Oryctolagus cuniculus: one gene and its partners. The protein of the gene in region 3 interacts with the protein of the main gene of each other region in a pairwise test. Links are inferred from orthologs where the notes say so. Each region holds a gene or a part of one and is shown on either strand. Other genes may lie near its edges. The genes, in order: ZMIZ2, CEP76 and SALL2.

The links.
Region 1: the proteins of SALL2 (region 3) and ZMIZ2 interact in binary tests that used the Homo sapiens proteins (3 or more experiments, as listed by UniProt). The two-hybrid records come from large-scale screens. The link is inferred for Oryctolagus cuniculus from reciprocal best matches to the Homo sapiens genes SALL2 and ZMIZ2.
Region 2: the proteins of SALL2 (region 3) and CEP76 interact in binary tests that used the Homo sapiens proteins (3 or more experiments, as listed by UniProt). The two-hybrid records come from large-scale screens. The link is inferred for Oryctolagus cuniculus from reciprocal best matches to the Homo sapiens genes SALL2 and CEP76.

The regions. Positions count from the first base shown.
Region 1 is NC_091447.1:52,037,150-52,040,793, reverse strand, and holds part of ZMIZ2 (zinc finger MIZ domain-containing protein 2), read right to left. Parts: intron 3,553-3,644; coding exon 3,408-3,552; intron 3,329-3,407; coding exon 3,118-3,328; intron 2,486-3,117; coding exon 2,380-2,485; intron 2,224-2,379; coding exon 2,066-2,223; intron 1,348-2,065; coding exon 1,280-1,347; intron 1-1,279. UniProt on the Homo sapiens protein: Increases ligand-dependent transcriptional activity of AR and other nuclear hormone receptors.
Region 2 is NC_091441.1:69,536,980-69,540,623, reverse strand, and holds part of CEP76 (centrosomal protein of 76 kDa), read left to right. Parts: intron 1-3,205; coding exon 3,206-3,423; intron 3,424-3,644. UniProt on the Homo sapiens protein: Centrosomal protein involved in regulation of centriole duplication. Required to limit centriole duplication to once per cell cycle by preventing centriole reduplication.
Region 3 is NC_091443.1:53,414,191-53,418,615, reverse strand, and holds the start of SALL2 (sal-like protein 2), read right to left. Parts: upstream 2,890-4,425; 5' UTR 2,585-2,889; coding exon 2,518-2,584; intron 2,139-2,517; coding exon 1-2,138. UniProt on the Homo sapiens protein: Probable transcription factor that plays a role in eye development before, during, and after optic fissure closure.

The DNA of each region.
Region 1 (3,644 bases), on a different chromosome or scaffold from region 3:
GGTGACACAGGGTGGGGTGTCCCTGTGAGGTGACTGAGGTGACACAGTGCGGGGTGACCCTGTGAGGTGACACAGTGCGGGGTGACCCTGTGAGGTGACTGAGGTGGCCCTGTGTGAGGTGACCCTGTGAGGTGACTGAGGTGACAGAGTGTGGGGTGACCCTGTGAGGTGACTGAGGTGGCCCTGTGAGGTGACTGAGGTGACACAGTGTGTGGTGACTGAGGTGACGTTGTGTGAGGTGACTGAGGTGGCCCTGTGTGAGGTGACCCTGTGAGGTGACTGAGGTGACAGAGTGTGGGGTGACCCTGTGAGGTGACTGAGGTGGCCCTGTGAGGTGACTGAGGTGACACAGTGTGTGGTGACTGAGGTGACGTTGTGTGAGGTGACTGAGGTGACACAGTGCGGGGTGTCCCTGTGAGGTGACTGAGGTGGCACAGTGCGGGGCGACCCTGTGAGGTGACTGAGGTGACCCTGTGAAGGTGACTGAGGTGGCCCTGTGTGAGGTGACTGAGGTGACACAAGGTGGGGTGACCCTGTGAGGTGACTGAGGTGACATAGTGTGAGGTGACTGAGGTGACACAGGGTGGGGTGACCCTGTGAGGTGACTGAGGAGGCCCTGTGTGAGGTGACTGAAGTGACAGTGTGAGGTGACCCTGTATGAGGTGACTGACACACGAGGTCATCATTTGTGAGTGTCTGAGGTGACAGACTGTGAGTTGACTGAGGTGACACACGCAGTGACTCTATAGCGGCCTACCTAAGGTGACGCTGTGAGGTGGCCCTGTGTGTGGTGACTGAGGTGACCTTGTGCTGTGACTGAGGTGACACTGTGAGGTGGTCCTGTGTGAGGTGGCCCTGTGTGTGGTGACTGAGGTGACCCTGTGCTGTGACTGAGGTGACACTGTGAGGTGGTCCTGTGTGAGGTGGTCCTGGGTGTGGTGACTGAGGTGACCCTGTGTGAGGTGGCCCTGTGTGAGGTGACATGACACACGAGGTCATCATTTGTGAGTGTCTGAGGTGACAGACTCTATGTTGATTGTGACTCTGTAGCGGCCTGCCTAAGGTGACGCTGTGAGGGAACCCTGCGTCAGGCGTTGCTACGAGGGGTGACCCTGTATAGGGTTTCTGCCCTGAGCCACACCATCCTAGGCTGTGCTGTTGACACCAGCACAGACGTCCCCAGGCTTACACATTTGGTCACACTGCTGGCAGTCTCACCCCCAGAAGTCTGAAGAAGTGGGGAGCCCTCCCCGCCATACAGCACGCCTCGGAGACTCACTTGCATACGGGGCACCTCCAGGTCCCCCGCTCACAGTTGAGCTGCAGGTACGACTCCAGGTCGAAGCACTGTGGAAAATGAGCAAGAGGCCATCTTTCATCACGGGCCCAGACACTCAGGCCGGCCATCCCCCGCTGCTTTCCCTGTGCGTTAACAGGGAGCTGGATGGGAACTGGAGCAGCCACTGGGACATGGACCAGAGCCCACACAGAACGCCGGCGTCCCTCACCTGCCCGAGTGCTTCAGGCCCTGCCACTCATGTGAGAAACCCAGATGGAGTTGCTGGCTCCTGGCTGTGGTGGCCATTTAGGGAGTGAGCCAGCACACACAAGATCTCCCTATTTCTCCCTCTTTTTTTTTTTTTTTTTTTTTTTGACAGGCAGAGTGGACAGTGAGAGAGAGAGACAGAGAGAAAGGTCTTCCTTTGCCGTTGGTTCACCCTCCAATGGCCGCCGCGGCCGGCGCGCTGCAGCCGGCGCACCGCGCTGATCCGATGGCAGGAGCCAGGAGCCAGGTGCTTTTCCTGGTCTCCCATGGGGTGCAGGGCCCAAGCACCTGGGCCATCCTCCACTGCACTCCCTGGCCACAGCAGAGGGCTGGCCTGGAAGAGGGGCAACCGGGACAGAATCCGGCGCCCCGACCGGGACTAGAACCCGGTGTGCCGGCGCCGCTAGGCGGAGGATTAGCCTAGTGAGCCGCGGCGCCGGCCCCTATTTCTCCCTCTAACGCTCTTGCAAATAAACCTTTAAAAAGGAATCATCAACTGGCGAAGCTGGGAGCACCCACCTGTATGTGGCGACAGTCGTGGCCCCGGGCGGGGAGCTGGATCCTGCGGAAGGTGATGGGGCACTTCAGGGACACCTTGATGGCCGTCTGCTCCACGCCGTCCTCCCCGTTGGGCCCAGGGGTGCCCGGGATGGTGCCACTGCTGAAGTTGCGCTTTACTGACAGGAACGGGGAAAGGACGTGAGTCGGCGGTCCCTGCCGCGGCGCCACTGACCCATGCCCGGGAGACGGCCTCACGCGGCGGGGACACTGCCCAGGGGCAGCAGCGCTCGGCCGGGGCCGGGGCCGGGGCCGGGGCAGGTGGCGGCGCTCACTCTTGGTGATGCAGTGCTCCGCGGGCAGAAGGCGTTTCTTGAGGAGGCCCTGCAGCACGGAGCGCACGGCCGGCCGGTGCACCAGCTGCAGCACGAAGAGGTGGGACTGCAACACGACCGGAAAACGCCGTCAGGGGGACTGGGAGGCGAGCAGGGCATCTAGGATGCGGAGAGCCAAGGGTCTGGGGCAGACCGGGCCAGCCATGCTCCTGGGCAGCTGGGCCCCGTCCTCCTTGGAGCAGGAGGCACGGGGAGGGCGCTGCCGCCTCCCGCCGTGAGCCCAGCAACCCGTGCTGCTAGCCACGCCCCTCCCTAAGCACACCTGTGCTGTGCTGCCTGCACTTGACGTCCAAGCACTGCCCAGTGCTCATCTCTCTGTTGAAACACAAGCACCCAGAGCCCCCCGGACACCCCCAGCCTACAGCATCCTGTTACCCGTGCTGGCTCCGGAGTCCCTTAGCAGGGAGCAGCCAGGCTGCGGGCTCCAGGCCCGGCCCGGCCCGGCCCAGCCCAGCTCTGCCCAGGACCTGACCTACGTGCTGCAAGTCCTCAGCCGGGGACTTGGAACCGCGCGAGGTTTCTCACAGCTAAGAGCATGGAATCTGATACGTGCAGTCTAAGCAGAAGACAGGGTGTGGGGAGCCAGCGCTCTTTCCTTAAAGGAAAACGACTCAGAGGGAAACCGCAGGGCGGTAACGGGAGGGGGGGCCAGGCTGGAGCCCCGGGGCCCGCACGCACGCAGCAGCAGGCGGTGACGGTGATCTGGATGGTGTTGCGGCCCGGCTGGCACACGTGCTTCAGGTAGAGCGGCTTGTGCGAGGTCTTGTTGTCGCCACGCTCGATGCTGAGGGGCGTGGCGTTGACGCTGACCTGCACCGAGGCCGGCCAGTTGGTGTTCATCTGCCGGTCCTCGTGGTGGTAGCACTTGAACTGCAGCTCCAGGTCGGGCCTGCGTGGGATGGGCGGAGGGCCGGTGCTGAGCGCGGACGGGCGCGGGGCGGGCCGTGCAGGTGGGGTAGGGGTCTCACCTCAGCATGAGCGTCTTGTAGACCGAGTCCCGCAGCTGGAAGGCGTGGTTGCTCACTGCCAGGTTGTGCTGCAGGCGGAAGGGCTCCAGCACCACCCCGTCCCGCACCGGGAAAGTCAGCCGCAGCTCGTCGCAGGGGCCGCCACCTGGAGGCAGCCCCCGCGTGAGCTGCGGCGCCTTGGCCCCTCCTGCCCTGTCCTGGCTCGGTCACCTGGCCCGCCGTCCCCTGAACGATGGC
Region 2 (3,644 bases), on a different chromosome or scaffold from region 3:
AGTATAACAGCCAGTGTCTTTTTTTTTTTTTAAAGATTTTTATTTTTATTCTTTTATTTAGATTTAAATGTTATTCTGTACCCTAGTTATATTATCATTTTGAGTTGTACTCTTTTTTTTTTAACTTTTATTTAATGAATATAAATTTCCAAAGTACATCTTATGGATTACAGTGGCTCCCCCTCCCATAACTTCCCTCCCACCTGCAACCCTCTCCTTTCCCTCTTCCTCTCCACTTCCATTCACATCAAGATTCATTTTCAATTCTCTTTATGTACAGAAGATCAGTTTAGCTTTTTTTTTTTTTTTTTTTTTTTGACAGGCAGAGTGGACAGTGAGAGAGAGAGAGAGAGAGAAAGGTTTTCCTTTGCCGTTGGTTTACCCTCCAATGGCCGTCGCGGCCGGCGCGCTGCAGCCAGCGCACCGCGCTGATCCGGTGGCAGGAGCCAGGAGCCAGGTGCTTTTCCTGGTCTCCCATGGGGTGCAGGGCCCAAGCACTTGGGCCATCCTCCACTGCACTCCCGGGCCACAGCAGAGAGCTGGCCTGGAAGAGGGGCAACCGGGACAGAATCCGGCGCCCCAACCGGGACTAGAACCCGGTGTGCCGGCGCCGCTAGGCAGAGGATTAGCCTAGTGAGCCGCGGCGCCGGCCCAGTTTAGCATATATTAAGTAAAGATTTCAACAGTTTGCACCCACATAGAAACACAAAGTGAAAAATACTGTTTGAGTACTAGCTATAGCATTAAATCACAATGTACAGCACATTAAGGACAGAGATCCTACATGAGGAGTAAGTGCAGAGTGACTCTTGATGTTGACTTAACAAATTGACACTCTTGTTTATGGCATCAGTAATCACCCTAGGCTCTTGTCATGAGTTGCCAAGGCTATGGAAGCCTTTTGAGTTCACCGATTCTGTTCATATTTAGACAAGGTCATAGTCAAAGTGGAAGTTCTCTCCTCCCTTCAGAGAAAGGTACCTCCTTCTTTGATGACCTGTTCTTTCCACTGGGATCTCACTCATGGAGATTTTTTTTTTTTTTTTTTTTTTGCCAGAGTGTCTTGGCTTTCCGTGCCTGAAATAGTCTCATGGGCTTTTCAGCCAGATCCACATGCCTTAAGGGCTGATTCTGAGGCCAGAGTGCTGTTTAGGACATCTGCCATTCTATGGGTCTGTTGTGTATCTCGCTTCCCATGTTGGATCGTTCTCTCCCTTTTTTATTCTATCAGCTAGTATTTGCAGACACTAGTCTTGTTTATGTGATCCCTTTGGCTCTTAGTCCTATCATTATGATCAGTTGTGAACAGAAATTGATCACTGGGACTAGTGAGATGGCATTGGTACATGCCACCTTGATGGGATTGAATTGGAATCCCCTGGTATGTTTCCAACTCTACTGTTTGGGGTAAGTCAGCTTGAGCATGTCCCGAATTGCACATCTCTTCCCTCTCTTATTTCCACTCTTATATTTAACAGTGATCACTTTATTATTTATTTGAGAGAGAGTGAGTTACAGAGAGAGAGAGAGAAGTCTTCCATCTGCTGGTTCACTCCCCAAATGGCCACAACGGCCATAGCTGAGCCAATCTGAAACCAAGAACTAGGAGGTTCTTTCAGGTCTCCCACGTGGGTGCAGGGGCCCAAGCACTTGGGCCATCTTCCACTGCTTTCCCAGGCCCTAGCAGAGAGCTGGATCGGAAGAGGAACAGCTGGGGCTCGAACTGGCATCCTTATGGGATGCCAGCACTGCAGGTTGAGGCTTAGCCCACTACGCCCCAGCATTGGCCCTGCCATTGTCTTACAGAGTAAATGCTCAATAAATATTTGAGTTTAATTATATGTGCAGTTAATTTGACTTTTCTCTCCTATAGTTCAGTTTATGGTAGGAGCAAATTAAGCAGATTCAATTTTACTAACTCTTGAAAATTAAAAAAAAAGTGATCTAAAAATTCACTGACACTGTCTTTCATGTGGGTTTTTTTTTTTTTTTTTTTTTTTTTAGATTGATTTGTTTATTGGAAAGACAGTGGCAGAGAGAGAAGAGAGTGAGATAGTGAGAGAGATTTTCCATATGCTGGTTTATACCCCAGCTGCCTTCCACAGCTGGAGGTTAAGTCTCCCCTGTGGGTGGCAGGAACCCAAGTACTTAATCCTTCATTGCTGCCTCCCAGGGTTCATTAGCATGCAGCTGAATCAGAAGTGCACAGTTGCAAAGACTCAGAACCAGACACTCAGATATGGGATGCTGGCGTACCAAGTAGCAGCTTAACCTATGGTGCCACAATGGCTGCCTCCATACTATACAGGAAATGAACCTTTCATGTCACATCACTATATTGAATGTTTTTTGATTATGTTTCTGAGAAGTGAAATCTGGAAATTTATAGTTCCCTTTACTTTTATTTCTGTGCATCCCTATCATAATTAATAGTTTAAAAATTATGAGGGACAAGTGCTGTGGTGTAGCAGGTAAAGCCACCACCTGCAATATTGGTTCTAGTCCTAGCTGCTCCTCTTCCGATCCAGCTCTCTGCTATGGCCTGGGAAAGCAATAGAAGATGGCCCAAGTCCTTGGACCCTTGCACCCGTGTGGGATACCCAAAAGAAGCTCCTGGCTCCTGGCTTCAGATCGGCTCAGCTCCAGCCATTTTGACCATCTGGGGAGTGAACCAGCAGATGGAAGACCTCTCTCTCTCTCTACCTCTGCCTCTTTATCTCTCTGTAACTCTGCCTTTCAAATAAGTAAATAAATCTTTAAAATAATTATAACAACTTGGGGTGGGCGCTGTGGCTAAACCTCTGCCTGCGATGCCAGCATCCCATAAGGACGCCAATTTGAGTCTTGGCTACTCTTCCAATCCAGCTCTCTGCTATATATAGCCTGGGAAAGCAATAGAAGATGGCCCAAGTGCTTGGGGCCCTGCACCCATGTGGGAAACCTGGAAGAAGCTCCTGACTTTGGATTGGCAAAGCTCTGGCCATTGCTGCCATTTAGGAAGTGAACCAGTGGATGGAAGACCTCCCTCTCTGTCTCTCCCTCTCTCTGTAACTCTGCCTCTCAAGTAAATAAATAAATATTTTTAAAAATTATGACAACTTCCAAAAATCGTTTCTTGGCATATGCTAAAATATAATTTACATTTTGATTTGTTTTTGAAAATATTAATATATTTCCCATTTTCTTTTTCTCTTGATTGCTGTAGGATCTTGGCCTTACCACTGTTTGGGAAGACCAGCTTTCCTATCTTTTATCACCAGCTTTGGCTTCTTATGAATTTGAGCGTACAACAAGTATATCTGCAGGCAATGAAGAATTTCAAGATGCCATAAGGAGGGCTGTACCTGATGGTCACACATTTAAAGGGTTCCCAATACATTTTGTGTACAGGAATGCTAGGCGTGCATTTGCCACATGTCTTCGGTAAGATATTATTTATGGATTGATAAATGTTCTCGCTATAGGCATCCTAGATGTTTACTTAGGAATGACATCAGAATCACATGGGGGAGCTGTTAAAATGACTTAGCTTTCTTGTGCAGATTTGATCCATGAGTTCTGGAAAGTATCTACTTAGTTTGGGCCAATTTTCCTAGTGATTTTGCAAAATCTCAGTTGAGAATGTCTAATTTTGTCTAGTGTAA
Region 3 (4,425 bases):
AGCCCCGCCCCCTTCAGGGAGTGTAGCACCACCATTGGGGATCTGGCCCCCCAGGTGCATCCGAACGTGCTGCTGCAAGGTGACAGCGTTGGTGAACTTCTTCTGACAGATGGGGCAGGAGTTCTGGGCCCGGGCGGCTGGACTGGCCTTGTGGCCCACGAAATGCGCACGCAGATTGCCCCGGGTGGAGAAGGCTCTGCCACATACTTTGCATTTGAAGGGCCGCTCACCTCCGTGTTGGCCATAATGCAGGCGCAGGGCGCGGGGACAGCTCAGCACCCGGAGGCAGATGACACACTGGTTAGGTCCGGAAGAGACTGAGGATGAAGGGGCAGGCGCAGAGGTGGTGGGGGCTCCTGAGGCAGTGGAGGCCACTGCCACGGCTCCTTGTCTGTCGATCTTCTCTACCAGCTGCTGCAGCTTCGATGTCTCAGAGGGCGAGGCCCCCAAGGGCTCTAGCACATAGGGGAAAGGGAAGCTGCCAGTGGACTTGAAGTGGTTGGTAAGCAGCGCCCAGCTCGGGAGCGAAGTCACCAGCTTACTCAGCTGCATTCGGGTGGCTGTGCCACTCTCTGCCACCCCACTGATGGCCGAGCCCTCACTCCCCGGGGGGGTGTTCTCATCAACTTTACTTTTGGGCTCCACTGCTTTCATGAGCACGAACTTATTGAAGGCAGGGAGTCCAGGTGCGGCCGCTGTGCCCGCGCCGGTGGAGAGCAGTGTGAGGCTCTCGGTGGCACTGAGTGCTGTGGTGGAAGCCACCAGGGGCTTGCGTTCAACACCTCCACCAGGCGTGGCTGCCTCCTCCTCAGCCTTCTCTGGGGGCACAGACATTCCATAGGGCAGGCCGCTGCTGGTGATGACGTAGTCTAGGTGCTCGGGCACTGGGTGTGGGTTCATCTGCACGTGTGGATACTTCTCCCGATGCCGGTGGAAATGCACCTTGAGGTTGCCGCGGGTGGTAAAGCGGTTGCCACAGACATTGCACTTATAGGGCCGCTCCCCGGTGTGCGAACGGAGGTGGATCTGCAGGGCGCTATCGCTGCCAAAGACTTTGGCGCAGAAGCGGCATTTGTGCCTGCCACCAGGCTTCTCCAAGGGCCCCATCACTTCCCCGTAGCCCAGCTCACCACTGCCGTTCTTTGGCTTCAGGAGCCCAGGCGAGGCAGCAGCATCAAGGCCTCGGGCGGCCCCAAGACACTGAGCCGCCAGGAGTCCCGTGGTGCTTGGGAACGCCAGGTGAGGAGAGGCCATCAGCTGCTCTGCACTGCCAGGCAGGGCTGGGGAGGGGGCGGGCGCGGGTTTGTGGCTTCGCCCCACCCCTCCAGCAGAGAAGGGGTGCTGTGACCCCAGCGGATGGTAAAGGTGGAAGAAAGCCTGCTTGGGCGTTTCTGCCCCGGAGGAGGAGGAGGAGGAAGAGGAGGAGGAGGTGGAAGAAGAGGAAGGTGCCAGTGTCTTGCCAGTTTGGGCAGGCTTGATGGGGCTGAAGAGGGGTAGCAGGGGCTTGGCAGAGGAGGCAGTTCCGGTCGCGGGCAGCTCTGAGGGACTGGCGGGGGAGCCCACCGTCTGGCCTAAGGAGCCCAGCAGCAGCACCTGCCGGCAGATTTGCTCCGTCATCTGCATCTGATGGATCTGCCGCTGCTGCAGCACCCGCAGCTCCTCCAGGATCAGAGGGATGTTCAAGTGGCCAGTGCCCACTCCTGGGGGTGGAGGGGGCGGTGGAGGAGGTGGGGGTGCAGGGGTGGATTCTGGAGGTAAGGGGGTTGCTCCTAGCTTGGGACTAGCCAAGATGAGGCCCCCACCTCCCCCAGCCGCTGTACCTGAGGCAGCGACCAGGAAATGCCCAGAAGAGTCCTCTCCTCTCCTCTCTGTGCCCCAGGTGGGATCCGTGGGCCCAGAGGACACAGAATCCGGGGGGTTGCTGGGCTCGGTGTCCATGACTTGGGGGCTACTGTGGCTCTCAGGTCGGGGTTCCAAGGAGGCTGAAGAGTTGTTGGGGTTCTCCTGTCCCCCCATTATCACCATCACAGGAGGGTCGGTAGAGCAGGCGTTCTGGTGGGCGAGGAATTCAGCTGGGTCAGTGAACTGTGCGCAGCACTTGGCACAGACCTGGGGGTGGTCCTCCTCGCTAGCATCACCTGGGGAGAAGACAGAGAGCCTGGGTGGTGAGGTTGAGTGGAGCATTCAGAGGCGGCTCTGGTTAATAAGAGCCCGGGAACCACTAGCTGGGGGTGGGGAAATGAGCTCACCATCAGGCCTTGCAGAAGGCTCCAGCTCAGTCCTGACCCCCGCGACAGGACAGGAGACACTCCAGCCTGCGGCTGCGGGGCGTGCGCACGCTACTCCCCTCCACTCCCAAAGCCCCCCCCCCCCTTTCCTGGTCCCCTGGCCAGCGCAATGGGTTTGAGGAAGGGGCCTAAGCAGAGAACCATGCAGTTGATCGCGCCCGCGTCCCCTCCGCCCCCAGCCCGCCCCCAGCCCTGCCCCGGCCCCGGCCCCAGCCCGGCCCTACCGCACCTCCGAGCTCCGCCGGCTCCCCGCAGGGACCCCCGAGACAGGAGCTCCTCCCGGCTTCGTGCGCCATGGTTGTGGGGGACGTGCGGGGTCGGGAGGGGTGGGAGACAATAGGTATCGGGATTGGGGGAGGCGCCGCTGGCCGCCGGGGCTGCGACTGCCTCTGCACCCAGCGGCCCAGACTGCGGAGACGGAGATCGGCGGTGGCGGGGGCAGGGAGCAGCGGCGGAGGGGGAGGGGAGCGGGGAGGAGGGGAGGAGCTGGAGCGAGAAAGCTGGGAGAGGGGAGATGGAGGGAGGAGAGCTTGCCGGGAGGAGCGGCTGCCGAGGGAGGCGGGGGCTGCGGTAGGCGGGAGTGGGGAGCGCGGGACGGGTGGGGGCGGACGCCCAGCACTACGAGGGTTTCCGGAGGCTGCGTGACAGGTGCGGGGAGGCTCAGTGTGGACCCACCTTTCTCAGCCCTCTGCCAGCTCCCCCCATCTCCAGATGTCTTTGCCCACCCCACCCCCTAAGCTCAGGGGACACAGTGGGAAACGAAGCCCTGCGCAGCAGAGCAAGGCAATGGGCTTCTCTTATTTTTCTTTGGATAAAAGATCCGCTGAGCTTGGAAAACGTGGATTCCAGAGGGGGGGCGTGGCCTGATCTCTTCAGAGGCCTGAGGGCCACAGCGGGAGGAGGAGCCCAGGACACCCACTCCTCACCAGCGCGACCCCCGCCCCCCGCCCAAATAAAACAAAACAAAACAAAAAACCTCCCAACTTTTGTCAGGTCTTCCTCATCCTACTCCCTCTACGTCCCTCTGCACAAGAGAAGTTTCTCAGGGTAGGCAGCTGCAAGGTAGGATTTCCAAGGAACTCATTTCAGGAGTCGTCTCTGAGGAACACTAAGCTCCTTTACTGCCCGCCCCTCCTCCTGCAGAATAATAGAATGCAAGCCACTGCGCAGGTCGCCGGCCACAGCGCATTTGGGGTTGGCGCTTGTTGAAGAAGCCATCTCCTCCGTGGGTCCCTCTTCCCTTGCAGTCTGGCTCGCCTTCACTACTGGGGGCGGCGGGTCTGGGAGATGCCAGCCTCCCGAGGCTTGCGCGGGCCCACCGGCTGTAACTGGGGGGAGGGGAGCTCGCTCGAAACAATGGGGGAAACGCAGCAGAGGCAGCCTGGCCACCTCGGTGTCCTTAGCCCCTTTGAGCCCCAACCTAGCGCGAAGGGGCACCTCCTTCCCTTCAGAGAGGAAAAGAGGGCAATGATGCCTCCTGAGCCGGGTACTCTGCATTCCCTTTCCACCTTGAAGTGATTCTTAAAGGGTCTCTCGCTTCAGAAAATATTTTGCCTTCCATGCAGGAGGTGACCTTGGTTTTGTAGTTTACCCTCATTGTTCCAGTCCCAGTCCTGTCCTAGCCTGTCTGGTAAACTGAGGCATGGTATTACCATCAAGTGGCAATATGGCAGCTGCACTATTTTCTTCAGAGAAATATTTAGGGTACAAGAAAATTTAAAAATCTTTTTTAAGGGGAGAGCATTTGGTGCAGTTTGGTATGCCAGCATCCCATATGCGAGTGCCTGTGCCTGGTTGGGTCCTGGCTACTCTCCTTCCAATCCAGCTTCCTGCTAATGCAGGTCCTGGGACTCAGCAGGTGATGGCTCGAGTACTTGGGTCCCTACCACCTACATGGAAGACCCAGATGGAGTTCAAGGCTTCCAGCATCAACCTGTCCCACCCTGGCTGTTGTGGTCATTTGGGGAGTGAACCAGCAGATGGAAAATCTGTCTCTCTGACTTTCAAATAAAAAAAAGAAAGTAAATTAAAAAAAAAAAAACTTGACAAATAATATGGGACTTGTTAAAATTGGGGGAATCTTGAATATTATTAATTATATCTTATAGTCTCAGTAGTCAAACAATTGAAATAACCT